4 linked regions of the Rhinolophus ferrumequinum genome follow. The protein of the gene in region 3 purifies or fractionates together with the protein of the main gene of each other region. This does not show direct contact. Links are inferred from orthologs where the notes say so. Each region holds a gene or a part of one and is shown on either strand. Other genes may lie near its edges.

Region 1 (7,090 bases), on a different chromosome or scaffold from region 3:
AAGGGAAAGATCTAAAGGGCTAACATTTTTTAGTTCTGAAATACATGGATATTATACTGTTCTCTGGACTTTTCTGTAGCATTTGAATATTTTCAGATTTTTTTAAAAACTTTTATTAGCAACATTTGAAACATCCTTGATTGTCATTAGACTATGATGACAAATAGCTTTCACTATCCCTTGCTGTCTTTTCCACCAGAGCTCACTTATAGGATACATGATCTGTAATTACATCTATCTACCCTGAGATTTTACAAAGGAACACAGTACCAGAACAAAAGAAATGAACCACTGATAGCAAATCGACATTCTAAGAATAAGACCACGAGGTCTTGGAGCATCTGAAAAGGAAAAACAGCAGTTGCACTTCACAAAGAATGTAGAGGATGCTGCCTTTGCATAGTGCCAAATGGATGGACCTATACCTACCGTGTTTCCCCGAAAATAAGACCTAGCCAGACAATCGGCTCTAATGCGTCTTTTGGAGCAAAAACTAATATAAGACCATCTTATTTTACTGTAAGATTGGGTCATATAATACTGGGTCTTATATTAATTTTTGCTCCAAAAGACGCATTAGAGCCGATTGCCTGGCTAGGTCTTATTTTCGGGAAAACACGGGATAGCACTACCAAGGGAGAAGGAACCCAATTCATACATAAATCAAAGCTAGTGAAGAATCAGTGAAACATTAAAGCCAATAAATTCAAACCATAAAAATGTTACTCCTCTCCCATAGCTGGTAGTGACCCAAACATGTACCACAGGCATAAAACTGAACACAAATCTGGACATTTTCCAGTATACAGAAATGGCCACCAGTGTTTCATGATAAACTGCCATCAAGGCTACTTGCTCCCATGAATAAATACCCTCCCTATACTTATTCCTTCAAACTAGCAGCCTCCCTCAATCACATCTGCAACATAGAGATCTTTATCTGTATTCACACCATATCAGCTCCCTACTGCCAATCTTCTCTCCAGCCAGCCAATCTTTACCTCTTTGCTTCTTCCAAATGACAAAGGTATTCGTAAGCCACATTCTGACGTCTCCTTTCATCCATCTCCTCCGCAGTAAGTCTCTCATTATCCAGGACAGCTAAAATATGAAAGAAAGAATATGAACACAAGAATCTGTGAACTTTCTGGGCGATAAAAGAATGCCACAGAATCAAAGTCTGCTAGTCACTTAGAGTCAGGGTAACTTATGAATGTGTGGTAGCCAGGTGTTCTACAATGACTTTCCTAAAACAGGAACTGTGGGGTTTCAACTATACTCATCTTACCCTTTTTTTAAAAGTATGAACACTAAATTTTAACATAACTTGAAAAATAATGACTTGAGATTTTGGTCCAAGTCTGTCCTAGCCCACCTGCCAAACTCTTTCTAAATACACAGCTGATCATGTTGTTTCCCTCTTTTATCAAGAACTAAAGCCAGCAGTCATTAAGAACTAAGTGGTAGTAATTGTGCTAAGCATTTACTTGCCTTCTTTCATTGAAGCCCCACGACGATCCTGTTATTACTCCCATTTCACAGATGAGGAAATTGAGGCTGGGTGATCTTAGCCCCACAGCTAAGTGGTGAGGCCTGGATTCAAATCTAGACAGTCTATCTCAAAAACCTGTGTGCTTAACCTTGAAGCAATCTACCTCCTGCTTAGGCACCCAAGGTATGGAATAAATTACTAATTCCTTCCGATGGCACTCAAGACCTTTCCCAATTTAGCCCCAACTACTTTTGGAAACTCTTCTCCCTCTCCCTGCCCTTTTGCTCACCACTGTGCACTCCACACCACTCAGTTCCCAACACACAGTGCCTTTCTACTCTTTAATACCTTAATTCATGCTCTTCCCTCTTCAGTCACATCTCTTGCCCTACCCTGCCCTGTCAAACCTGACACAACGTCTCAAGGTTCTGTTTAAATCACTACCTGTGGGCCCCCTCCCTTCCCCAAGCCCGTCTCCTCACCCACCCTACTGTTTATGCCAAGTTAGTTCACCCATCTTTTATCTTTATTATACCTTATTATCATTGAGTTGTGCACCTGTCTCTTTGATTAAAACGTTCTTTGAAGGCAGGGCCTGGTCTAACTCACCCTTAATTTCACAAATGGAACATAATACCTCACATATAACTGTTGATGAGTGAAATTATCCTAAAAACAGGACATTATGCTCAGATATAAAATAAAACTGAAAAACCTCAAGACGCCAATGGGCTCTCCTTTGGCCAGTGGTAACTATCTCGCCTGCAGGTCAATGACGTCCCAGGGACAGCTACAGAAAATGAGGAAGTCAGAGGGTTTTTGTTTTTTGGTGTTTTTAAAAAAAAATTTTTTTTAAACTTTGAAATCCTGGCGAGGGAACTGAGCCCGAGAAAGCTAAAGTGACTTGCCCAGGGCCGCACCTCTGGGATTGCCTGGGACCGGGCAGGTCTGGACCCTGGGTCTTGCTCGCCGGCAGCACTAGGGCAGCAGCTCCCCACCAAGCCTGAGCAGAGCCCCGGTCTCCAGTCTCCGGTCCCCGGGACACGCCCTGCACAGTCCTCCTGCCACCTCACCCTAGGCCGTCCCCTAAAATCTCGGTCTAGTTGGGCGGCGGGCGGCGCTGGGTGGGGCCCTCCAACCTCAGCGCCTGAGCTAAAGCAAGGAGGCCGCCTGGATGCCCCCCGCCGCATCGGAGGCCGGGGGCGCGGAACGCCGGCCTCGACGCCCGCCACCCCTCCCGCCCGCCGCCCCGGCTCTTCCGGGTCCGCGCGGCCGACAGCCGCCCTGCCCCACCCGCCCCGCCAAGCCCCCGGGAAAACGGCGCCTGGGAGGCAGAGAGCCCAGCCCCGAAACCCCCGCGCCGCAGAGCCCCGCACTCACAGCCATAGTGTGGCCGGGATACGCCCAGTCCGTCAACCTCTTCTGTGGCGGACATGGCGGACAAGCCCAGGTCTCTGCTGAGGAAGCGGTGAGACCTTAGAGGCGCGGGCGGCGAGAGCGGCAGCTGCTGTAGAGTGCGCGGGCTATCCAAGTCGCCGAGGCCCCGCCCCGCGCCGCCGGCCCCGCCCTGCGGCCCCGCCCTGCCTTGCCGACGGGAGCAGCAGGAGGCGGGGCCCGATCCGGCCGGCCCCGCCCTTGGCCACACCCCCGTCCGCCACGCCCTGAGGAGGTGGAAGGAAGGAGGCGGAGCCCGCGCTAGCGTGCAGCTCTGCTCCTCAAGGAAGGCCCACCCGGGCCCTGGAACCCTAACCTCCCCGGCCGCTGCCCGGTCCGCACCTCGAACGAAAAGGCTGCCATTGTCGGTGGCTTGAAATAAAAACCGTGGGCTCCCTCCCTTCCCCTGCCTGCCGAACTAAACTCCTCTGCACCAAAGGGCTCTAGGAGGGCGTCCTTTGAAGTGGCCCACCGTGTTCTTGTTTGACACAGCAGGACCCAAACTGCCATAAGGGAGCGCAATCTGGCCTCAGTTCTCTCCTAGATTCGCCAGCACTCGCCAGATTTGCACTGCTCAAACCCCTAGTACTTGAGAAGCGAATGCTGAAGCAGGAGAGCTGTGTTGGTCCAAACTTCCTTCCCTTTGATTCCCTGCCGCTGATCTTTGCAAATTCTTCTTTGTAGGGGACTCTATCCCTTTTGGGTATGGCTCTTCCCCTTGCACCTTGTGCGCTGCCCTTAAAATAATTGGTACTCGACGGAATTCTGTCCTCAGCCCTCCTCCGGTTTTTCTTGGACCACTCTTTCTGAGTAACTTCCACACTTGCCTTAAACTGCTGAAGAGCCATAAACCTGTGTACCTCCAGACCAGACCCTGCAGAAGCCCCAACTCAGTATTTTTGACTGTGTAATGGGCATTTTCATCTGTGAATCCCGCAGACACTTGAATGTGTCGAACGCTGAGCCTGCTCCTGCTGTATTTCTCTATTAATAGAAGTGCTCAGTTAAGTCTAGCATATTTTACCACTTTTCAGAAACTTTTAATAATTCTTGGTCCAATTCACAAGCTTAGTTAATTCAACATCTTCAAACATTAAAAATCATGTCTATAAACGTAATAGCTTTTCTTTTTAATTTCTTCAATTGTTTGACCTAGAACGTGTTCAAGGCTTAATAATAATTATAAATCAGATGAACTTACAAATATAATGAATCTAAAGTTCTGTTAGATGGCCCAGTTCCATGTGTAAACTTATCAAAATTTGAACTCAAAATCTAGTCTAAAACTAATTCAAATATACATTTAAAATAAGAGTTACAAGGCTGTAACTCTAATAAGCCAAATTTTCTTAAACATTGCAAGTGTATAAAATGTAAAATATGCACATATTTCTTCTTAACCCAAACATATTAATCACATAGTTCTTACCTCATTAAGCCGTCCTATACTTAATTCTAAAGCTTCTCTGAGTTGAAAGACAGCTGTTAAGACAGTTTCCAACCTGGGCAATTCAGATTAGTTTTGATCAGTGGTTTCTACCAGACAAGTCCTAGAGATGCAGGCTTTCAGAGCCATTCTTCTCAGTGTTCCAAATGTCTTTTATGTCTTTCATTGCCTCATCCTCTGACTACTCTTAGAAACCTGCAAATCCTACCTACACAGTTTATCTTTTGATTTTATTTCATATTTCTTGGCTTTTGAGATATGTACATATGTTTTTATTTTAATTCTAAAGACTTTTGTAATGAGTGCTAGCCAAATAGGTAAATGTATTTCCTCTCTAATGATAAAGATTATGAACCTACTGGGCTTTTGCATTCTTTCTTATTCCTAGAACCATACAATTTTAACAGGTATTTAAATCAACATCCTACATCCTAGTGAGTTTCAGATATCTCACATAGCTTTACCTGATGGTCACAAATTAAGTCACTCTTCATAAGTACAGTAACTGAAGTGTACTGAGGCTTACTGGACTAAATGTTTTGTATTTATTTTCTTATCTGAGCCCCATAGTAATCCTATAAAATAAGAACCATTATCATCTCCAATTTAGAGATGAGAAAATGGAGAACTAAGTAATTCAACTGAAGCCACACAGCAAGAGGCAGAGCTGGAACTCAAACCCAGGCCCCTCTAATGATAAAGCCTTCATGTCTGGTCAGTAAACACAAGATTCAGAGAAACACACATTAAGATCATAACTGGCCACTTACCACATCTCGTCAGAGTAGCAACGTCTTTTTTGTTTGTTTGTTTTGTCTTGTTTTGTTAATTGACATTATTGGCAAAGAGCTGCAAAAGCAACCACTGCCATGCCCTGCTGGTGGGCTGTAAATTGACACAAGCTTTCTGAAGTCCAACTTAGCATTATGTAGCTGTCCTTCAAATAAGGAATTCCACCTGTTAGAATCGATCATAATGAAATTGTTTTGTAAAGTGCAAAAATTAGTGATGAAGATGGTCCTTGGAAATGTCTTAAACACCCATCACTGGATGTTTAAATCAGTGATGGCACCTCCACACAATGGAATGACATACAGTGATAACAGTGACAATGTGTGGTTCTAATCAGGTTAAATGGTTACAAGGAATAGAGACCCACTTGTTTTACCTCTAGAGAAAAAATGGCCAAAAGGAAAGCATTTATAATAAAGATGCATATGGACTGGAACCAGGGCAACAAAAAACAGGATGAATGAAAGATTGAAGGCGTTGGATTTGTCTGTTTGTCCCTCTGGGCATCTTTGCTTCTCCACCGGTCTGCTCTACCCTCTTCTCTTTGACTTCTTCTTCCATTTCAATTTTTTCTGCTCCCCCAAAACCCTGGCTTCTATCTGGTTTGCCATAACTTTAAGTCAAGGCCATTGCATCCTTACACCATCAGCTCCATTGAGGATAATCTCAGTTGCCCAATTCCATGACCTAGTGGCATATGATTGGCCCGGCTCATCCTTTCACTCCCTGGGCATGTCTCTGTGGTAGGAGATACAGCCGTAGAAAACTGTGAGCTGAGCATTACTTCCTTCAGTGGTTGGGTCAGCAAACAACGATCAATACTTCTAATATGATGGTTAAATGAAAATAACAAATTATGAACTAACACATATATTATGATACGATTTTTTGCTCTAAAAGTATATAGATATAGATGCACATATGAATAGAAAAAAGTCTTGAAGCATATACATCAATATATTAACAGAAGTTTCTCCAGGTGGGGGACTTACAGTGGATTTGTGCGGGATTTGTTTATTTGCTTCCTCCAAGTTTTCTACAATGAGCTACTCAAAATGATATTTTGTAGGTTAACTGTAAATATAAAGTTGGTAAATATGAAATGAAAAAATGAAAATCAGGGGCCAGCCCGGTGGTTCAGGCAGTTGGAGCTCTGTGTTCCTAACTCCGAAGTTCGATTCCCATATGGGCCAGTCGGCTCTCAACCACAAGGTTGCCAGTTCGATTCCTTGACTCCCGCAAGGGATGGTGGGCTGCGCCCCCTGCAACTAGCAACGGCAACTGGACCTGGAGCTGAGCTGTGCCTTCCACAACTAAGACTGAAAGGACAACAACTTGACTTGGAAAAAAAAAAAGTCCTCGAAGTACACACTGTTCCCCAATAAAGCCTTGTTCCCCTTCCCCATTAAAATCTTAAAAAAATAAAAATAAAAAATAAAAATAAATAAAAATCAAAAAGAGAAATAATTTGGGGAGATAGAATTGGTTCATGACCTGAAGAATTTACAGACTCACAGGAATGGAGTAGTATTAACAGGATAGCTTCAGATAAGCACCAAAATAGAGGTTTCTTTGGTCCTGGAATATCTTTTAGCCTCTTATCTACCTGGGAAATTCCTACTCAACTTCCCAGACCCAACTCAAATGTCACCTCCTGCCCCAAGCTAAATTATTCACTTCCTCATTTATTTCCCAGTAGCATTTTAGAAACCATAGCTCTTCAAAAATAAGTCCCACTTTTTTTCACATTTGAATATTTCTGAAATCACTATTAAAAGGAACTAGCCAGATACCAGATAGAGAGAGAAGTCCATGAAAAAGTAACAATTATCATTGCTTGCAGATGTATGAGTTTAACTAAATTCTCAGAAAAGGTTAAAGAACTTTCACAGTTGGAACCGATGACAGATTCACATTTTACAAAT
Region 2 (6,865 bases), on a different chromosome or scaffold from region 3:
AGCTGCACACGGACACCCAGCACCCACTCAGGGTCCTTGCACAGCCTGCTGCAGTCAGACCTCTGGCCTGAGGGACAGCCCGGGAAGCTAATAACCTCCCTGCAAGTCAGGCTTATAGTGCAGACAGTTAGGGAAGCCGTCAGTTACTGATCAAGCCTGTAAGATCGGGTCTTATGTTAATTTTTGCTCCAAAAGATGCATTAGAGCTGACTGTCCGGCTAGGTCTTATTTTCGGGAAAACACAGTGCTTCTGTGAGCTTCTGGAACAGGCACAGCTGACCCAAGTGTAAGACAGCACGCTGTCTGGAGAGAACTGGCCAGGACAGCGGTGTGAGCGGCGTGGCTCCGAGTGCATGCACTGTCACGACCAAGAGGCCTGCACATGGCATCTGTCCTGTTCACTGTCCCTGATGCACAAAAGGGACAAATAAGTTGATTGGGGAGGCAACCATCCACTGAAAACAACCACTTCAGGTACTGCCCACTGCACATGCAGCAGGACAAAGATACATTCAGTCATTCTGAATCCCTGCTCTTATGTCCCCAATGCCAGCCACTGCCGGTGCTGTTCCACTTCACAAGAAAGCAGGCAGGCTGACCCTACAGAAGGGAGGAGCTCAAGGGCAGGCCATGCGCCGGGTGAAGGGGTCAGGCTGAGCCCAGGAGAAGGGCCTCAGACACGTGTGTTTGGGGCAAAGTCTGCATGGCTCTGAAGTGACCCTGAGAAGTGGGGGGGCAAAGATGAGGACACAGACCCCTCGGTGGGCCTGGCGCAGCACAGCTCTCGGCGAAGCCCAAGTGACTGTGGCCTGAGGGTACTGAACCCTTCTAACACGGGGACCCAACGAGCTGCTCTGAGGCTGTCCTAACTGCACGGCCTGACTCGCATTAATTCTGAACAAAACTGTTAGGAATTACCCACCTCCACTGTCGCCACAATCGGCCGGAAGGTGCTGCTGCGTACCTAGTGAAATGCCCCAATCCCACCAAGTGCTCAGGGTTGCAGGTATTCCACTCGAAACCCCAAAGTCAACATGCAGGACTGCCCCTCAGCCTCCTCCAGACCAAGCGCTGACCAGAGAAAGCAGAGGGACTGAGCAGTTCCACATGGCACATGGAGCGAGGAGGATGCTATGCCGACCCACTCAGAGCCTCCACGGAGAGAGAACCCAGGCGGCCAGGCCGCCTCACACCATATGGCCGGTGGGAAATGCCGATCCCCAGATTCCACGCAGTAGGGCTGGGACAGGCTCGAGCCGTGCCCGTGACCCTCCGCCACTGCAAGGCACTCCTGTGAGTGCAAATCACACCACCATCAGATTTGCTGTGAAACGCAACATTCAAGGGAGACAAGATGGAGCCGCGGGCAAGGTCCCCAGAACGGTGCCCAGGTGAGACGTGGTGCCCTGGGCCCTGCTGCTGTCTGACATTTCTCCTAAGATGTTTCTACAAAATGAATTTCAGGCACTTTTGTTACCTGGAATGAAATACAAACTTTCTTTGCCTGTGAATGTTCCACTAGCAAGTGAGGGAAACTTGCCTGCCCTCTTTCCAAGATAAACCTGCAAAGGTCACAACAGACGTTTTATTCTGAGTTTCAACTTTAATTATAAAACATGGCAAACCTAAAAATAGAGCAGTTGTATGTAGGACATTTATAAAACACTAAACTTCCTTTTTCCCTTGGCTCCTTTGAAAAGAACCATGAACTCAGGCCTGCAGCACACATGCTACCAGCGGAGGAAACGCAGCGGGAAACACTGCTGGGACCGGAGCGTCTCCCAGCAAACTTACCTGGCTGGAGGGGTCTCTTCCTGGTGATCCAATAAGCTCTTGAAAATGTAGAGCCGAGCTTGTTTTTGACCTGTGGAAGCGAGCTCCTGGTACCTTTCCTAGTCACAGCGGCTGCCTCCCATGGGACACGAGCCGGGCGGGCAGGCACAGGAGCCCACTGCACACAGTTCACTTGCCCGGCTCTGGGAGTCCTCCTCTACCCCCCCCCCCCCCGAGTCTACGCTGGCCTGTGCAGAGCCCCAGCTTTAGACCACCGGGAGGCCAGAGGCCGGCACCTAGGCAGGCGACTCCCTGACCAGCCGAGAGGGTCTACTGCAGGAGGGCAGAGGGAAACCACTGAAAAAGATCCTTAGCCTTCCTTCTCAGAGCAATTAAAACAGGAAACAAAGGAAAGGAACACTCTCAGGCCGCCCTGTGAAAGGTGCCCCCGACCCGGCCATTTGGGACGGCATTCGATTACCAGCGAAACCGAGCTCTGCTAAAACGACGGACGGTGAAATCGCAGCATTTGATTGCTAACCTCCTTTCCCACAGCCCATTCCGCAGGAGTGCAGACTGGGAAGGAAACCGAGACACGGCCACGACGGGTCACGACCGCCGGGAGGAGGAGGGGCCGCCACGGTCCCCACCGGGATTCAGGAGGGTCTTCGTGGGGGCCTTAGGAGGAGCGTGCGCTGACCTTTACCAAGTCACAGGGAAGACGGTGCGGGGGGTTCCCGACGGAAGCCGGCACTGCACGAGCCGCCCAATACACCCCCGTCCAGTGTTTGTCCTAGTAAAGGGCCCCCACGCGAGGAAAGACACTGGAGCCCTACTTTCCGGGTAGTGGTGCGGGACGGCGAAAGTTTAGGCTGTTGGCAGCACGAGGTGAATCCCCGGTGGCGTACGACTCGGCGGGCAGGCGGGGGCCACCGGTCGATCGGGTCGCGCCCCCTCCTCCGAGCGCCCGCCGCACACCCTCGGGTCCCCCCCAACTCCCGAGCCGCACCCTCGCCCCCGCGGCCGGGCCCCTCCCCGGTCCCCTCAGCCCCCAAGCTGCCCCCTGTCCCCCGGCCGCCGCCCTCCCCCAGCACCCCAGGGTCGCGCGCCGAGGGCCGCCCGCACGTGCCAGCGCGCCCTCCGGAACCCGCCGAGGCGGAGGAACCGGACGCCGGGGTCGGACGCTCACCTGGCCTCCAGTCGTCTGCGCCGCCGCCCGCCGCCGAGGGAGGGGCGGGACCGGGGCGGGGCGGCTCAGCGCCCACAAAGAGTCGCCAAGGCACCGCCCACCCCGCCCGCTGATTGGCTGAGCACGGGGACGGGGCCTCCGATTCAAACCGGGGGCGGGGCCTGGCTCTGGAGTTCCCGCGCGGCCGCGTTGGCCGTTGGGCTGGAGCCCTCAGCGCCCCGCCCCCACCGACTCCCAGGTCTCCGCGCGCGGCTCTAGTGCGCCTGCGCTCTGCCACCCGGGGGCAGGGCGGGGCGGGAGGTGTGGGTGGGAGAGGACCGGAAGGGGGACGGGAGGAGCAGGAGGATCAGGGAGGGGCTTTAGGGAGTTAGGGGCGGGGCTTTGGGGAGGGGAGGGGAGAAGGGCGGCGGAGAGGGCGAAGGAAGAGGAGGGCAGGGCAGCAGCTCCCTGGACGGCACGGGTCACAACAGGGGCTTCCCAGGTTTACATGTAAGAAATTAAACGGTCGACTGGCCCAAAAATAACTCTCAAAACCATAAAAGTAGAAAACGGGAGTTTGTTTTTTACATTATTTCTTAGTGGAAAAGGTCTGAAATAGGATACAAAATCCAGAATCCGTTAATCCAAGTAACACTTCTTAAACGCAGGCGGGGCTGCAGTGCTAACCCAGTAAAAGCCGCCTGCCCCCCTGTCCTGCGCTGGGCCCCGACCACGGTGGGAAGTGCTGCCAGAAGCCGAGGCGCGGGGCCCTGAGCGCGCAGGCCTCCAAGGCGGCGTCTGAGAACACGCCCAAAAGGAGGGAGGGGAAGAATTCCAGGCAGAGGGACCGGCTGGACCAGTCGGGAGGTGAGGCAGGAGGGGGGCCTGGCTGCAGTGAAAGGGAGTCTGTCACTCAGAATATTTAAGAGAGTGTGGGCTTTCCTCGCAGTAAGATGAGAGACCATTGCTCAGAAGAGGGGCGGGTTCTGAACTGGGCTTGAAAAGAATCACTGTTGAAATTGATTGGGGGAGGCGGAAGTAGAACGTCCAGTTAGGTCACCGCAGTCCTGGGGTGCAAGTCAGTGGCTGTGATAAATGTGATGACCTAAATATTTAAAAGGTATGTCAAACAGGGAAAGTCTAGGGGAAAATTTTGTTCCCAACCATATGCCACACAAAAGACTGAATTTCTTAATACCTGGATATTCTGCAAATAGAAAGATCAACAAACCAGCAGAAGGTGTGAAAAGGATGTTGACACACGGTTCAGAGCAAAGGAAGAACATGCTGGTAAGCTGGCGGGAAGGCACTGAGCCTCAGAGCAAGAGCCACGCAAGTGAAGCTAGGTGGATTTCCACTGTCAGACTGGCAAAGATCAAAAATGCCCTCTGGAGTAAGGTGATAACTTTCCAGAGCCTTCATTCTTTCTCACTCAAAATTTCCAGCATGAAATTAAAATTAACAGGACACAAGAACAAAACATGGCAAAAAAGGGGAAAAAACCCCAGATAATAGACTCATGGTTGGCTGTAATATTAGCGTTACAATTGTTTGTTTATTTGTTTTAAGGAACTGTTGTATTCAAGAAAATTAACGACAAGGTGAATAAAGAATGAGAGAAATAACATTAACCTTATACAGAGCCTTCCAGGTAGTGAAGAAGGAATTCTCCCCAGCTTATCAGGAGCCGGCTTAACCTCGGTGCTAAAACTTGAGAAGATAACAAGAAAGAAAAATTACAGGCTAGTCTCTCTTGCGACCATACTTCAAAATTCCAAACAAAATCGTAGCAAATCAAACCCAGCAATAAATAAAAAAGAACACATCACTACCAATTAGGTTTATTCCAGGAATGGAAAGCATTCCAGAAATGCTTTAACATTCAACAAACCAATGTAATGCATCACATTAGTAAAATGAAGGAAAATAAAAAAATAAACATCTCAGGTGGAGAAGAATTATCTGATAAAATTCAACACAAATTCATGATAAAATACTTAGGAACCTGAAAGTAAGGTGCCAGGTTAGCAGCAGTCCACAGGACCACCCTTGGTCCTGATATTCACTGCATGTTTAGGGGTCACCAAGACCACTGTCAGCTTCAGTAATTCACTAGGACTCAAAAAACTTGCTGAAAACTGTTACACTCACAGTTATGATCATTAGCGTGAAAGCTTACAGATTAAAGTCAGCCAGGAGAAGTGCATGGGGCAGGGTCCAGGAGGGTCCATGCATGGAGATGGCACACCCGACAGCCTCAGGCCCCTAGCTAACAGACACCACTAGCAGTCAGGACATCCCAAGAGTTTGGAGATCACCTCTCAGGTTGCCAGGGCAAGGACCAGACCTGGCCTTGGGCATGGATCACTTCTTCACTGCACAACAAGGGACCTCCCTGTAGCTGAATAAAGTGTATTTACAAAAAACCTGTAGGAAATAGTGTAATGTGTGGACTAAAACGGGGTCACATAACTAAACCTGACAAGCTCAGGAGAGCCACATGGCAGTGACAAGCTCAGTAATGAGAGTGACCACACAGGATGGTCTGAACATCAAAATTCCTAACTAAAGGCGGGTCGTGGCGGGTAGTCACGTCCTAGGCCTGTAGCTTCCTTGACAAAGGTCACTCTTTACCTGAAGTGAGCCTGTCTGTTGTCTTTTTGCATCTAAGATAACATACCTTTGAAATGTCAGAGGAATCTCCTTCCCCCGACCCCTCAGGGCACAACCTCCCACCAGAGCCCAGACCACAGACCCCCTCACTATTATTTTGTTGTTCCCATACCATCTCCACATGCTTAAGTGTTCATTGTTGTCTGTCCTGTACCCACCCGTGTAAAGGATTGTGTGTCTCTCCGTTTTACTTTTTATCCAAGAGATCTCCCCGCTTTGCTTTCTCCCACCCCTTTAACCTACCACCCATGGATTCCATAGAACCCCCTTAGTCTCCTTCTTTGACTCTAATGTATAAAATAAGCTGCAAAACTGCTGTTCCCTGGAGCATTTTCTCAATCCCTTGAGATCCTGCTTCCCAGAAATCATCAGTTTGGCTCAGAAAAACTCATAAAAGTTATCCACAGTTTGAGGCATTTCTTGCGTCAACAAATGCCTAGTGAAACAGTACAGATGTGGAAGTTCCACCCTGTGGTCGGGAAGGTGTCTGCTCCCCCCACTCCTGCCCTACCTTATGCTGTAGGGCCTAGAGCCAGAAAAAGAAGCAACAGGTATAAGATTTGAAAATAACTAAAATCATTATTCCCTGAAGAGAAGGTTTCAAATGTAGAAATGCAGAAGAATCTTGTCGCAGCCGGCTCGGCGCCGTAACAAAATACCATGGAGGGTGACTTAGCCACAGAAATGTACTTCTCATCATTCTGGAGGCCAGGAGTCCAAGATAAGGTTCCAACAAGGTTGGGCATCTGGTGACAGCTCTCCTCCTAGCTTGCAGACAGCAGTTTAGAGAGAGCCAGATAGATAGCTCTTTCTCTTCTTATAAGGCCACCAATCCTACCAGATCAGCACCCCACCCTTATGACCTCATTTAACCCCAGTCACCTCCTAAAGGCCCTGTTCTCGAAGACAGTCACGTGTGAATTTGAGTGGGACACAGTTCAGTCCATAGCAAATCTCCAGATAATAAAGATCAAATTAATAAAGAATTAAGCACAACCGTCAGATAAACAGTCAATACATAGGAAAATCAATTACACTTTTATATACAAGTAACAAACTATTTTTATATTAAAAATTTTTTTAATGATACCATTTGCAAAGTATCAAAAACATCAGCGCCCAGGGATAAATCTAACAACAAAACACAAGGCCTAAATGTGGAAAAGTGCAAATCACGGCTGAGAGAAATTAACAACTCTGTAAATGGTAGACGAATATACCAGGGCCACAGATCAGAGGACTCATCTTGTC
Region 3 (7,693 bases):
AACTTTGGGGGCAAGCCCCGAAAACACATGGATTTTAACAAAGAATACTTTGATTGGGTGCTCTTTCAAGCTGTACAGCACTTCTAAGGTATTTCTCAGGTGAAGGACCTTTCCCTCTGGCCAGCATGAATGCATGAATGTCCCCTAAAATGAGTACATTAAAGCTACCGACAACTTCCTGGTCTAACCAACTTCTGCTGTTAACATTGTCTAAGTTCCATTTTGTTTTCTTCCCAGACCTTCACCACGATCAGGTAAAGACACCTGTAAGTCTACAGTGAAACAAAGGTTTGTTTAGTTTTGAGCATCTTTTGTGTGTGAGAGACAGAGACAGAAACAGAGAAAGAGAGAGATATCTGAGAGGTTGATGTAGAAAGATTTTAGAACGCTCTTTGCTATGAACTCATGCCTCATTTTTGACTATATGAACCCAGATATTTAATCCAGAATCAGAGTTTACAAAAATGCCATAAAACAGGAACAAAGATTAGAGCCCAGAAAGCAATAAGGAATGCCATTTTTCCCTCCTTTCTTCATTCCACAGATGACACTTCTATACACAGGGCCCCAATTTGCCTGTCTTCCCAGCTCAGTAAGTTTCCTTTGCCTGCACTGGAAGGCATAGCGTAAGAAAACACGAAGGCAGCGCTCTTTCTTTGTTGTCACAAACAGAAGGAAGTGTCCTTCCCCTCTCCCCGCTCCCAAAAGCCAACAGACCCAAGGCCAACTTCTCTCTTGGATGCTCAGACATAGAGATGATCATATTGTACCTGGCAACTGAGTCAGTGACAAAGCACTAAGACTGAGAAAGAACATCTTACAAACACATTGCAAATAAAAAGAATCAGCAAGTATGGTGTTTGGTATGGGTGAAGGAGCTAAAGCCATTTCTTAGGTCCTAAAGGCCAGAGCTCACACAGATCTGCATAACCTAACACCATGGACGTCTTAGGCTTGCTGCTCTCCCATAATAATGGATGAATGGAGATTTTCAATAGAGCTGGGCATTCTTTCTTTCTAAAACTTCCAGGGATGTTTATAGAAGATGCCACTTTTACCCACAAATTGTGTCGTCTTATTTCTTCCAGCACTTCAACTCTTTTACTCCCCCCATCATACTCCCGTAGTAGTTTTGATTTTATTAAATACGATAGAAACTTTAGCATCCAAGATTAAGAATAATCTTAAATTGCATACCTTGCTACATTTTCCTAAAGCACTCTCACAACACATTTTCTCACAGGGACATGACAATGAGATAACGCAACACTTTATGTGAGTGGTTAAGGATAAAGGCCTACAGGTAGAAAATGAAAGCAAAAATACAAAAGTTTTGGTATTTAAAAAGAATGCCTCCACTCTATTCACCCACAAAAGGCGGAGTGAGTTCCACCTGCTGCCTTTCCCTGCCTGCCTGCATGGCACTTAGGTTAAGCTCAGAACAAGCCGGGAGAGAGAGAGAGAAAAGACAATTTCACCTCTTGGCAAAGCTCAGCTTACTGAACCCTCTTGCTTTCTGCTGGCTGTTGATTCAGCAGAAACTACTGCTGCAGAATTCATAATGGTGATTTTTAAAGGCCTCGCTGCTCGGATTGCTTTCCCCACGTGTCAGACTCATTCGCTTGCCTCCGGAACACCGTTTCCCAGCCACCTTTTCATTTCTTACTAATGCACTTCCAAGGGGAGAGGGGTCGCCCTTTTGCAAAGGGCCTTTTGGGGTTTTGATTGTCTGAGCAGGTAACCCGGCCAGAGAGATGAACCGGCAGGAAATGAAACCATGCCCTCCCTGCAGCCGCTGAGAGACACAACATTCCGCTCAGGGAGGGGAGGACCCACGGTCCCTCTGGGCCCCTTCCTTCTTGTCTCCCACAAAGACCCCTGCAAACATCTTGGGGGAGGGGTCATCTGCCTTCTGGGGGTCATTTTTCCAGCCGGGAGCCCCACCCTGAAAAGCCTAATCCCTGAGGGCCATTTTAACTCCCGTGGGCGCCGGGTCCACCTGCTGCTGAACGCCGGGCTCACCTCGCGGAGCCCAGACGGATCTGGGACGCCCTGGTGGCCGGCCCTGAGAGCCGAGCCCCCGCCCCAGCCCCGGGGCCCGAAGGTATCTCCGCCACTACGCGCCCAGCAGCCCGCGGAGCACGGCGATCCTCAACTTGCTCCCAGCCCCAGCGGCGGAATGCGGCGGGGCTGGCGTTACCTTCGGTCGCATAGCTGTGGTCGCGCAGGAAACTGTTGTTGATTTTGCGGGTATCAATGTCCTCCTCCATTGACAGCAGGCTTACTTGCGTGGGAACCAGAAGCCGGCAGACAAGTATCCATGATCCCTCCCCGCAGCCAGTCTCACAGGAGAGGGGGGCAGGGGAGCCAGTGGGACTGCACCATGGTCCGAGCCTGAGGAGGAGACGGGGAGGCGGAGAGAAAAAAAAATAAAAACCCGGCAATGGAGCTGTCACCTCCTCCACTCGGGATCTCCGAGGCTGCGGCGGCTCCTCCCGCGGTGCGCTCACTCCAGCTCCAATTCCCAGCGAGGATGCTGCGCCTGCCTCCGCTGCCTCCGGTGCCAAGATGCGCCGTGCCCCGAGGGGGCTGGTTCCGCCCGCTGCCCCGGCGGCGCTCACAAGCGGGGCTAGGGAGATGCCCAACAGGTTCCCCTTGTTGGCAGCCGCTCCGAAAATGTAAAAAAAAAAAAAAAAAAAATCCCTCCTCCCCCTGGGAGAGCGGGCAGCCGCGACAAAATGGTGCCTTTCTGGACCTGGGCTGCAGTGGCGAGATGGCAGGGGCAGGATTCAGCCTGGCCCGGCGCGGGTGAGGGTGCTGGTCCCACGGGAGGGCGGCTCCGGTTGGTGGGGGCTAGGGAGCCGGCGGGGAGCTGGGCAGGGTACTGCGGCCGGCTCCAGCGCACTCACCCGCACACCCACACGCGCGCGCTCGCAGCTGCTGCTGCAGAAGGCTGGAGGCGGCTGATGCATTAAAGGCGAGGCTCCTCCCAACCGCGTCAGCAGCCCCAGGACTCTTCCCCAGCAGCGGTGGTGGCCGACGCTAAGGCTGCGGCTGCTCTCTGCTGTAGTGGGGCGCACGCAGCCGCGAACCGGCACCTGGGCAGCGAGCAGCTCGCTTGCAGACGGTAAAAGCACAGACGCGCGCCCCACCTCCCTCCTTCGGTGCTACGCAGCTAAGGGCGGCGTTCACTCTAGCACCCACAGCCCCTACTCGCTGCCTTTCTCCGGACACCGGCGCTTCAGGACCTCAAAGAGAAGTGGGTTGCCGTGGGTAGGCAGGAAGCCTATCTCGAGGTCCCTTTGGCTCATCCTTATAGCACGCGTGCAGCCCCTTGATGAAGTTCAAGGGCAAGGCCTGGTTTTCGAAGCCTCAGAAAGAGAGGAGAGAATAGGAAGAAGAGCTTCCCAGCGCTTAGTTTAAACCTTCTGTGTTAGGAACAGAATTGGGGAGAGGGGCCGGAACTTTTCTGCGATCACCTCTGACTTCCACATTCCCAGTCCTGAACGTTTTCTAACTGTAGGAGTCTATGTTTACACAGGCAGAGGGAAGCAGAGGGCTGAGATGAATCTACTCAACACAGTCAATGCTAAACGAGTCCACCTTCTTACACCCTGCACTTTATTGCAGACCCACTGCTGCAGGCCCTCCTGTAGGTTTGGCGTATGAAGGTAGGACAACATTTGCTCTCAACAGGGAAGGTACCTTGGAGCCCTGTGCCCGCAGAGAGCCATTGCTACCCCGAGGAAATTTCAAAGATCCAATGAACACAAAAAGTGGCCTGTCTTCCTACTTCAACTAGGAGGAAAATACCAAATGCCCTCCTGCCCCCACCTATGTTTTCCCAAATTGCGAATTCTGTTATTTGAAAGAAAATTAAATCTTTATTGTTATAAAACAACCAACATCATTTATGATGCAACCCCAGTCACTAGAAAGCCAATTTGGAAAAGAAATTTTCTCGGTTTCCTCTTGTAGAAGGGATTCATTTCAGTGGGTGTCACTGCAGGGAGAAACAGCAAATGTCTTGCTCAGTTAAGCTCCACAAGTTCAGCAAGATGAGCCCAGAGGGGCCTGTGAGTTAATTATATACATACAATGGTTCGGCTAACACAATTTAGAAAGTATTTGAAGTTCAAAAAAACAGGAAAACAAGTCCTTAACTGAGGCTGGGAATTGCCATTAGATATCCATGAAGAATAGATGCTTCTGGCAGGTGGGAAATGGCATTGTCCCCATCTCCAGAAAGCGTCGATGCGTCTCTGGGAGGAGAGAGTAGGGATATTTTTTGATATAAGTTTTGGGGGAAGTTCAGCTTACAATAGATTCCATGTTCTTCTCATCTGGTGGTTAAGAGTCACATGCTTGTTTGACTACTGTGTTTCCCCAAAAATAAGACCTAGCCGGACCATCAGCTCTAATGCGTCTTTTGGGTCAAAAATTAATATAAGAGGGCCAGCCCGATGGCTCAGGCCGTTAGAGCTCTGTGCTCCTAACTCCGAAGGCTGCCGGTTCGATTCCGACATGGGCCAGTGGGCTCTCAACCACAAGGTTGCCAGTTCGATTCCTCGAGTCCCGCAAGGGATGGTGGGCAGCGCCCCCTGCAACTAAGATTGAACACGGCACCTTGAGCTGAGCTGCCGCTGAGCTCCCGGATGGCTCAGTTGGTTGGAGCGCGTCCTCTCAACCACAAGGTTGCCGGTTCAACTCCTGCAAGGGATGGTGGGCTGTGCCCCCTGCAACTAGCAACGGCAACTGGACCTGGAGCTGAGCTGCGCCTTCCACAACTAAGATTGAAAGGACAACAACTTGAAGCTGAACGGCACCCTCCACAACTAAGATTGAAAGGACAACAACTTGACTTGGAAAAAAAAAGTCCTGGAAATACACACTGTTCCCCAGTAAAGTCCTGTTCCCCTTCCCCAATAAAATTAAAAAAAAAATTAATATAAGACCCGGTATTCTATTCTATCCTATTCTATTCTATTCTATTCTATTCTATTCTATTCTATTCTATTCTATAAGACCGAGTCTTATATTATATTAAAATAAGACTGGGTTTTATATTAATTTTTGCTCCAAAAGATGCATTAGACCTGATGGTCCAGCCAGGTGTTATTTTCGGGGAAACACGGTATTTGTTCAAAATTCACGGATGAAATTCCAGGAAGAGAAGAAGACTGGTACAAGTCGATGTAATTCACTTCAGCACCAGTTGCCGAGGTGGTTCTTCCACGTGATGAGCTGTATCCATCCGATGGCTCCAGTGGTCAGCTCATCTGTAGTTATACAATCTAGCTTCTCTGGCAGATTGGCATCATGGGGAACAGGGAGAAAGGATGGAGGGGAAAAATAGCTAAGTTCATTTCAAAGTGGTGAGAAGACATCTTGCTTTCAGTTGAAATGAGCAGAGGTTGTGACTGGAGACCTTGAAATAAATAGTATTGAGGAAATTCACCCCCACCATCCTCCTGGACCGTGCGTGAGATTGGAACAAAGATGAAGTGGGTAGGCCCAGGCTCATTGGCCAGGCTGTGCTTGAGGAATTTTCCACTGTGACCATTGGGAGGAGTGTCCCCTCCGTAGATAAAGCCTCTGGGCTTACTCAATTTTCCTTTTCACGTTTCCTGAAAAATTCCTCCTACATTTATTCAACATACAGCATTTTTTCCCCCTACGACACAGTTCTGGGTTAACTAGATTCCAAGCTTTCCATTTTGTGGACCATTCTTTTCCACTAGGAGCAACCAAGGGGTGGGAACTAGCCCCGCCCCTCCAAAACCAAGAAAAATCAAGTTGTTGGCTTGATACTTGAATACAATGTTGTATAGTAAAGGAGGTAAGGGAGTGGGGAAAGCCCTGTCTAATCCTGTGGTGGCAAGAGGGACTACATGGACGGTTTCTCAGAAGACCTGCTGACCTCCTTTCTATTCCTCCAACGTGGCAAGTTCTTTCCAAAAGCGTGTGCATTTGCACATTCCTATGCCCCTTTCTCATGTTCTTGGCATTTTCAGCACCTCAGCTGAATTGTTTCTACGTCACTGAGGAATTTCCCTGACCACACTGTAGTCCCTCCCTCTGGTTGTTCTGTCTCTACATCTTCTATTTGGTCTTCTTCATGGCACAATGCATTGTGCAATAGCTGTTTACTTATTATTGTCAATCATTTCCAATGTATCTCTGATATTAAGTATCTGGCACTTAGTAGATGTGCACGTATATATTGGTTAAATAAATATAAATATTTCTTGAATGAATGAGTAAATTACTGGATTTGTTCAGTGACATTTAGGTTCTATGCTCCACTCTTATTAAAATGCTTGCAACTGCCTTCCCCCCCCGCCAACAAAACTTGTGAGCCAGTAATTTTCTAGTTTGTAAGTCCTATTCCTATTAAAATAATTGTTTCTACCCATTTTTGTATGCATACAAAGTTTGACAATTAGGTTCGTGAACTCATCCTAGAAAAATTGCTACATACCTCATTGCTGAATATCACTATGGTTACCTGCGAAGTACTTCCCTTGGGAAGCTATGCACCAACGGCAGTGCCTAGTCCACCCTTCAAAGCAATTTTGGAACTCTTTTTCTGTAATGGCCATCAGAGCTGTCATATTACCCTTGATGTCCTGAATGTCATCAAAATGTCTTCCTTTCAATATTTCCTATATCTTCGGGTAACGAAAGAAGTCGTTGGGGGCCAGATCAGGTGAGTAGGAAGGGTGTTCCAATGCAGTTATTTGTTTACTGGCTAAAAACTCCCTCACGGACAGTGCTGTGTGAACGGGTACATTGTCGTGATGCAAGAGCTATGGATTGGCAGAAAGTTCAGGTCGTCTGACTTTTTCACGCAGCCTTTTCAGCACTTCCAAATTGTAAACTTGGTTAACTGTTTGTCCAGTTGGTACAAATTCATAATGAATAATCCTTCTGATATCAAAAAAGTTTAGCAACATCGTTTTGATTCTTGATTTGGACTGATGGAAGTTTTTTGGTTGTGGGGAATTGGCTGACTTCCACTGTGCACTTTGACTCTTTGTTTCAGAGTCGTATTGTCATACTGGTACACCTGTGTTTCATTACCAGTGATAACATGGCCCAAAACACATCGTTTTGCCTCTTCAAAAAATCTTGGCAAACTTCAACTCTCCTTTGCTTTTTGTTCATCTGTGAACTCCTTTGGGACCATTTTTGCACATACCTTTCTCATGCCAAGATTTTCAGTTAAGATTTCCCTGTTTCTCTATCGATGTTTACTTGGTCTGCTATGCTTCTCACAGTCAGCGAATGATTTTGATGCACAATTCGACAAATCTTTGCAGTGTTTTCGTCAGTTCTGCTCATTACTGGCCACCCTGACCTCTCTTTACCAGTGACACATTCTCTCCGCTCAGAAAAACCTTTAATCCATTTGTACACTGCCGTTTTCTTCATGGCATTATCCCCATAAACTTGAACTAACATGTCTCTGATTTCACTTCCACTCTTGCCATGTTTAACAAGAAATTTAATGTTTGTTCGTTGCTCTAATTCAAGCTCAGACGTTCTCACAACAGCACACAAAAACACGCAACAACAATAATGACCACACTCAGCAAGACACTGCCACAGATCGACACGAACACAGCTGTGAGACACTGATATACAAAGGTCATGAAACCTTACCGAGCTGTTTGTACAGTGCTGCCAATGT
Region 4 (7,456 bases), on a different chromosome or scaffold from region 3:
CAACTATGTAGAATTCACTTATTAGCTCTAATAGATTTTTATTTGACTCCTTAGAATTTTCTACATTTAAGATCATGTCATCTGCAAATAGAGATAGATTTACTTCTTCCTTTCCAATCTGGATGACTTTTCTTTTTCTTGCCCAAGTGCCCTGCCTGGAACCTTTAATACAACATTGAATAGAAGTGGTAAGAGCCACTTCCTTGTCTTGTTCCTGATCACAGGGAGAAAGCATTCAGTCTTGCATCGTTAAGTATGATGTGAGCTATGGTTTTTCATAGATGCCCTTTATCAGGTTGAGGAAATTCTCTTCTATACCTACATACTGAGTGTATTGGATTTTGTCAAATGCTTTTTGTTGCATCTATTGAATTAATCATGTGGTTTTTGTTCTTTATTCCATTATTATGATATATTATATTAACTGATTTTCAGATTTTAAACTAACCTTGCATTTCTGGGATAAATTGCACTTGATCATGGTATACAATCCTTTTTTATATGTTGCTAAAATTTGGTTTGCTAGTATTTTGTTGAGGATATTTACGTCCATATTCATAAGAGATATTGATCTGTAGTTTTAGTGTCTGGTTTGGTATCAGGGTAATGCTGGCCTCATCAAATGAATTGGGAAATGTTTAGATTATTCTGATCACTATTTAAACTTTCTCTAGCATCTCTCATCTTGACCTGAAGTCTCCCTTCAGCCTCTGCTCCACATCTCTGCTCCCTTTACAGCAAAGCTTTTCCTGAGAGGTGTCTACATACTGTGTTCTACTCACTCCAACTTGGCTGCTGCACTAAACACTCCACTAACACCATTAAAGGTCCCTGTGTGTTCTAAACTTACCAAAGCCAGTGATTATTTCTCAGGCCTCATTTTGCTTGAGTTCTCAGTAGCATGTGGCATGGGTGAGGCCCTCCTACCATCTTCTTGACAATCTTGATTTTCTTCCTAGCACCCAGGTCTGTTTCTCAGCTAATCAGCAAGATCCACTTCCTTCTCTAAAGTTTACAATGTTTGCAAACTTGAATGTGTGGACGAATCACCCGGGATCTTGTTAAAATGCTAAGTCTGATTCAGCAGCTCTGGTGTGAAGCCAGACTCTTACACATCTAACACACTTCTGAGTGATGCTAATGCTACTGATCTTACTTAAAGACCACACTTTAAGTAAGAAGGCTACAAAGAGTACTACATTCTGAATTTGTCTGTTTACTACTCTGAGGTGTCATTCAACTTGTTCCTCTGTTCTTTGTATTCCTGTGGGCAGTTCATGTTAGAGTCATCTAGGGAACTTTAAAAAATTGCCATGTCCAGGCCATACTCCCGATATATTAAATCAGAATATCTAGAGGCAGGGCCCAGGCACCAGCATTTTAGCACACGCGAGTGACTCTCATATACAGCTAAGATTAAGACCTTAATTGAAACATTCACTACTCAAAGTGTGTTCCAGGAACCAGCTACATTGGCATCATCATCTGGGAGTTTATTAGAAATGCAAAATCTCAGCCCTAACCCAGACCTACTGAATCAGAATCTGCATTTTAACTAGAGTCCAAGTTTCTTCTATGTGTGTTAAAGTCTGAGAAACGATGATCTATGTGCAGATGAATCGAAATGTTTATCGCCAGCTGTGAGCACCGTCCTCCATACCTAATTGCACTTCGGTATATACTCAGCCATCTCAAACTTAATGTGCTCTTAATTTGTATCCCTGCTTACACTTGTTCCTCCCCATCCTAGCCAATGACACCATCATTCCTAGTCATTCTACCACAAACCTAGGATTCACTGATGAGTCCACTGTGTCCCTTATTCCCCTATTCAATCCATATAGTCCTGATGACTACTTCCAAATCCATCCCAAATGCATCCACTTCTCTCCATCTGCAGGCCAACACCCAGGGGCCTCTTTCCCATCCTCCCACTTCTTTCCTTACTTGTCTCCAGTCAGTTCTCCCAACCTGGGCCAAAGGAAGCTTTTTAAAACGTGAACTATGTTCAGCATTCTCTGCCTAAAATTACTAATGATATATCTTACTTAAGATAAAATCAGACAGTGTATACCCTTCCAAACTCAACTCTTACCACTGACAGCTCCAGCTACCTCTATCTTAAACAAGCTAAGTTTATTATAGTCTCAGAGCCTTTGCACTTGCTTTTCCTTCTGTTTGGAAATTTCTTCCCCCGATCGGTCCACAGGTGTCTCTGGTCATTCAGGTTTATATTCAAATTAGAGGCTTCCCTAACCACTGCTGCCCCACTCCCTATCTAAAGCCTCCATCACTCTGATAAATGCATTTTTAGCTCCTAGTAGCATCTGAAATCACCTGTTCTCTTTCTTTCTGACTTGTTCAATGTCTGGCCCCTCCCCCCGCCCCCAGGAGATGACGGATTTTGTCTGTCCTCCTCATTGCTGTGTCTCCAGCACCCGGAACAGTGCCTGGTAAATGATAGGTACCTAACAAGTATCGGTGGAATGCGAAGAAGAGCTAAACTTCTACAAAGCGTCTATAATCCATAAATCTGAATCCCATAGCCAGGTGTACCTACAGCAGCTTTGAGACCGTCTGCCAGGATTCTGGGCTTCTTGGGAGAAACGGGCAAATGGGGGTTTGAATACCAGCCTAGCTGCCGACCTGCGGCGTGACCTCGGGAGAGGTCCTTAACCACGCTGAGCCTCAGCTATCTCATCCGCAAAATGGGCAATTAAGGACAGGAAGAGGCGGGTGCACAGAGGGAGGCCTTTCCCCGCACGTCCCAGCCCCGCACCCTAAAAGGTCATGGTGCCCTGGTTCTGCAGCCGGGTCCCTCTGGGCCCGCCCTTCCGCGCTGCCGGTCCAGAATGGGCCTCCCCGGGGTCCTGCAGTTCGCGCTCGCTTCCCCACGCGCGACCTACCTACTCACACGGGTGGCCGCGGAATCCCAGCCAGCTGCCTCTTGCCGCTGGGCGCCGCCATGTTGCCCGGAGAGCTTCCAGGTCATGGACCACCATGGCCACAGCAAATCAAGAACGCCGGTGTAAAGAAGTCCCGTCCAAAGGGGATGACCACCAATAGGAAGGCAGATCGACCTTGGTACCGCCTAGTAACGAGCTAGGCCCCACCCCTAACAAGGCAAGCCACATCCCTGACCAAGCGAATTGAGGAATATGGCCGGGGAAGGAGTGAGAGGATCGTTTCCGGGTTGGGAGGCTGGACTTGGGGACGGCCGTGAATCCAGTTGGCGGTCCGTTTACCCACGTGAAATGTGGGAATGAAATATTAAGGGTGCAAGTATCCCCAAACGTGTTAAAAATGTAGTGTGTGGGTCCCTGTATTTATACTTCTCCCCTCTGTGCAGCATGTCCATGATCACCGGATAATCCCTTTACCTCCGGGCAGGGCGACAGTAGAGATGGTGTATCTGGCATCCGCCCCGCTGACTACAGGAGCTGGGCAGTCGGACATAGGAGGTACCTGGAGCGTGGATGTGGCTGCAGCGCAATACACCTGCCCATCCCTATGGTTCCCCCCCTCTTCCGTGGTTCAGCCTCCTGACTTTGTCTTGCGCCAAATGAGCTTCTGGGTGCTGTGGGGATAGACTCAGGAGTGCAGTTTCCAGGCTCTCACCTTCATGTGGAAAGGTGCTCACTCTGGTAGTAACTGGCCATCAACTGTGATTGGATGGCTATCAGCTGTGGCTAGTTGGCCATCAGCTGTGGCTAGTTGGCCATCAGCTGTAACCAGTGAGCCATTGGCCACTAATGTAACTGCTGTGGCTACGCTAGCAGAAAATGGGGGCTAGCAAAAGGACGGTGGCTGAGCTAGCAAGAGTGGATTGCAGTTAGCATGGCTGATTGCAGCTAGCAAGTGGGGTTGGTTGGCAGAGAGAAGTGGACGGCAGTTTGAGGATAGTGTGGCTCCTACTTCCTGTGTCTCCGTCCCAGCAGTTGGGGAGAATATAGTGGTATGACTCCCCAATAATGGCTCCGTGGGTGTTCCTTTTTGGCCTCACCATATCCTGCATTCTAATGCGGGGAGTGGGACCAGAGACCCCGCATGACACCCTGCATGACAGCGCTCAGCCAGCGCGTGTTCCACAGCCTCACGTGGGCTCAGAAGCACCTTGGAGTCACGCAAATGCCTCCAGGAAGTGCGGGGCGGGACCTGAGGGCCTGGGTCTAACTCCCTTTTCCTCCTTCACTCCCCGCCCTGACCTCCTGCCCTGGTGCCCGTCCACCCTCCTCTTCCTGTCCATGAGCGCCCTCAGGCGGTACAAACTGCTCTCCAAGGAGAAAATCAAAATCAACCTCACTCCATGAGTCAGCTGGGCCAGGGAGGATGTTCTCCACACCACTCCCACCCCTGCTCTTCGCTCCTGTGGGGGCAGGGAGCTAGTAGCATGGGGAAGTGGGGTGGACACTGCTGAAGCTGTCCAGGTGAGGAAGGGTCCCCTCCAGGAAGGTTCTCAGAGCTAGGCTAAGGAGCCTCATGGGCCAGCCCTCTGTCTCTCTCTACCCCAGCCCTGGCAGAGGTTGACTCAGGGTCTTGACCCCTCCATGCCAGGCCCCCAGTTACCCTGTCCAGAGCTGTCCAGAATTGGGGGACAGGGGGAGTCAATGGACTCCCTGCCCCGGAAACTGTGGCTGATGCTTCTGGTTACCTGCTCCATGGCAGATGGGGTACAACTGTGTGGGCCCAGGGTCACATTCACTTAATCCCTTGTCCTCCTCTGACTCCTGCCTCCCTCCAGACCTCGTGCTGATCCACCACAACTAGGCCATTAGATGTTCCTAGGTTACCATGCAGTTTCTCTCTTCAGCTTTCACCACTTGGAATAAAGACCCCTGGAGACACCCCCCACACACTCCACCACGACGTACTGAACATCTCCTGTGTGCTTCTTTAACATAAGCTCCATGAGAACAGGGCGATTTTGTCTGTTGCATGTGTTGTCACCAGCATTAGAGACAGGGCCTGGAACATGGTAGGTGCTCACTAGATGTTAGTTACAAAATGAATAAATGAATAGATGAATGTTCTTTTCATCCTAATATTTAAACCTTAGAAACTGTCCCTTGTGAGTTGTCACAACTGTCCTGATGCTCACCCAACCTTTAAACCCCAGCAGTAACACCTTTAAATCCCTTGTGACAGTACCATGTGACTGCCTTTGCATGCCTAATTACCCTACCACTGCCTTCCCCCATCTTTCCCCAGCTCCAGAGCAGCCTGCATTACCTCATAGACCTCTATGCCAATTTGTTTGCTCACAGTCCTTTGTCAGTTTGGGATACTTGGATTTGGGGACATGTGATGGCCTTCCTGCTCCTCTCCTGCATTCCCCTTTCCCTCCCTCACCCTGATCCCCACTCTACTGTCCAAAATTGGTTGCTGAGTACAGCGAACTGCCCCTACAATTTGTTAATGGCCTTACTGAGTGGTGTGCCTATGGCTGTGGTCTGTGTAGCTGGCATCAGTGTGATGTTGTTTTAAAGTTTGAGGGGTATTGACTTTGGCTACACTGGTCGTGGGCATCCTCAACATGCTGTGAGTATACCACATCATGCTGTCCAGAGCATGAGGCAGGGAAGCCCTCACGTCCCAGAGCAGAGTGTGGGAAGGTGTTGAAGAGATGTGGAAGAGCTCCCCTAAACCTGCTGTAGACTTGGACCCAGGGCCAGAATGGTGGAGGCTGTGCAGAGGAACCTGAGGCTGTGCCCATCCCACAACCAGAAGGCTCCGATTCCCTCAAAAAGCATTTATTGAGTGCCTCCTTACAGCAGTGAGCACAAAAATATTCCTGACCTTGGGGAGCTGGCATTCTAATGGGGAACACAGACAAAAGACCCATGTTCTACAGAAATATTTTACAACTATTTGCAGCTTGAAAAATATTAAGTGCAAACTCTAAAACTTTTGGATATGATTTCGTCTATCATCTTGTTAACCTTAATCTACTTTTGAACTTCGAACATATTACCTTTTGTTAACATTTTTCAGTCCTTTTTGCTTGTGTGTAGAGCTTTACTCTGTGTTCTGTGTATTAATTTAGTTATTTAGATTTATGTATTCAGTCATTCTGCCATCTAAAACAAAGCTTCAAAATACATTCATTATACATATTTTAAAACAAATACGTGTTGTGTGCTGGATCCAGAGGGAAATATAAAATTAATTTGAAAAAGGAAAAGAAATTTAAGTTAGCCAAATGCTTAGAATTTTATTCCAAATTCATGAAGTAAAAATGTAAAATGTTACATGTGATTAACATAATGGTTATTATAGATTAAGAATTTTTTTAAAAAAATAGCTTGAGCTGTGTGGCAATTACATGGTATATATGTGTATGTAAAACTTCATTGAGCTCTCCATTATTACTTGTGCATTTTACTTTAATATTTCAATTTAAAAGTTTTAAAAAGTGATAATTGATTCATTGAGCTTTAACTTGTAGAGTTTTCTCTATACATTATATACTTTAAAAGTCTATTTAAACACATTACATCCATTAGAATGGCTATTATCAAAAAAGCATAATCTAACAAATGTTAATGAGGGTGTGAAGAAAGTAGTACCCTTGCACACTGCTGATGGGAATTTAAAATGGTTCAGCCACTATGGAAAACAGCACAGTGGCTCCTCAACAAATTAAAAATAGAGCTACCATATGATTCAGCAATTCCACTTCTGGATATATACCCAGAAGAATGGAGAGCAAGGACTCAAACAGTTGCACACCTTATTCATAGCAGCATGATTCACAATAATCAAAGCAACTCAAATGTCCATCGACAGATGAACTAATAAAATGTGGTATGTATATATAATGCAATATTATTCAGCTTTAAAAAGGAAGGAAATTCTGTCCTTTTGTGAGATAAACCAGTCACAAAAGGACAAATACTATGTGATTCCACTTATATGAGGTCCCTGGAGTCGTCAAATTATCATAGAAACAAAAAGTAGAATGGTGGGTGCCAGGGGTTAGGAGAGGAGGAATAGGGAGTTAATGTTTAATAGGGACAGAGTTTCAGTCTTGGAGGATGAAAAAACTGAAGATGTATGATGGTACACAACATAAATGTACTTAATACCACTTAAAAATGGTAAATTTTGTTATAGATTATACCATAATTTTTAAAACGTCTACTGAAAAAAGATAAGGGGTAAGAAATTAGGTCAGATTGAAGTGATGAGGGAGAGCTCCTGGGCTCCCGGAGAAAGCTTCAGTTTTAGGCTGTTAACCTAAGTGGACTAGCACATAAAATGCGGGCTTGGCAGTAGCAAAGGCTCTAGGCAAGGATAGTTATCTGCCCCCATTAAGAAAGCCATTTCTGCAATACTTTGGCTTCCATGACGCAGGACACCGGCAAGGGGACGGGAAGATACACGCAGCCAGCTTAGGATGCCTCAATGACTGCGCAGTGGCAGCGCCTCTGCCCTATCAAGATTCCTGTGATTGGCC

What was found.
Region 1: the proteins of PPP2R2B (region 3) and IQGAP1 purify together in Homo sapiens (co-immunoprecipitation; 3 studies listed by BioGRID and IntAct, with this or other methods). This does not show direct contact. The link is inferred for Rhinolophus ferrumequinum from reciprocal best matches to the Homo sapiens genes PPP2R2B and IQGAP1.
Region 2: the proteins of PPP2R2B (region 3) and CDCA4 purify together in Homo sapiens (affinity purification with mass spectrometry; 4 studies listed by BioGRID and IntAct, with this or other methods). This does not show direct contact. The link is inferred for Rhinolophus ferrumequinum from reciprocal best matches to the Homo sapiens genes PPP2R2B and CDCA4.
Region 4: the proteins of PPP2R2B (region 3) and ECSIT purify together in Homo sapiens (affinity purification with mass spectrometry; 3 studies listed by BioGRID and IntAct, with this or other methods). This does not show direct contact. The link is inferred for Rhinolophus ferrumequinum from reciprocal best matches to the Homo sapiens genes PPP2R2B and ECSIT.

What each region holds. Positions count from the first base shown.
Region 1 is NC_046311.1:3,447,430-3,454,519, reverse strand, and holds the start of IQGAP1 (ras GTPase-activating-like protein IQGAP1), read right to left. Parts: upstream 3,010-7,090; 5' UTR 2,928-3,009; coding exon 2,873-2,927; intron 1,102-2,872; coding exon 1,002-1,101; intron 1-1,001. UniProt on the Homo sapiens protein: Plays a crucial role in regulating the dynamics and assembly of the actin cytoskeleton.
Region 2 is NC_046289.1:688,291-695,155, reverse strand, and holds the start of CDCA4 (cell division cycle-associated protein 4), read right to left. Parts: upstream 3,019-6,865; 5' UTR 2,963-3,018; intron 2,762-2,962; exon of another isoform or gene 1,795-2,761; intron 1-1,794. UniProt on the Homo sapiens protein: May participate in the regulation of cell proliferation through the E2F/RB pathway. May be involved in molecular regulation of hematopoietic stem cells and progenitor cell lineage commitment and differentiation.
Region 3 is NC_046307.1:19,931,688-19,939,380, forward strand, and holds the start of PPP2R2B (serine/threonine-protein phosphatase 2A 55 kDa regulatory subunit B beta isoform), read right to left. Parts: upstream 3,022-7,693; 5' UTR 2,973-3,021; coding exon 2,800-2,972; exon of another isoform or gene 2,395-2,799; coding exon 2,201-2,394; intron 1-2,200. UniProt on the Homo sapiens protein: The B regulatory subunit might modulate substrate selectivity and catalytic activity, and might also direct the localization of the catalytic enzyme to a particular subcellular compartment.
Region 4 is NC_046301.1:39,072,624-39,080,079, reverse strand, and holds the start of ECSIT (evolutionarily conserved signaling intermediate in Toll pathway, mitochondrial), read right to left. Parts: upstream 3,009-7,456; 5' UTR 3,003-3,008; coding exon 2,915-3,002; exon of another isoform or gene 2,907-2,914; intron 969-2,906; exon of another isoform or gene 851-968; intron 1-850.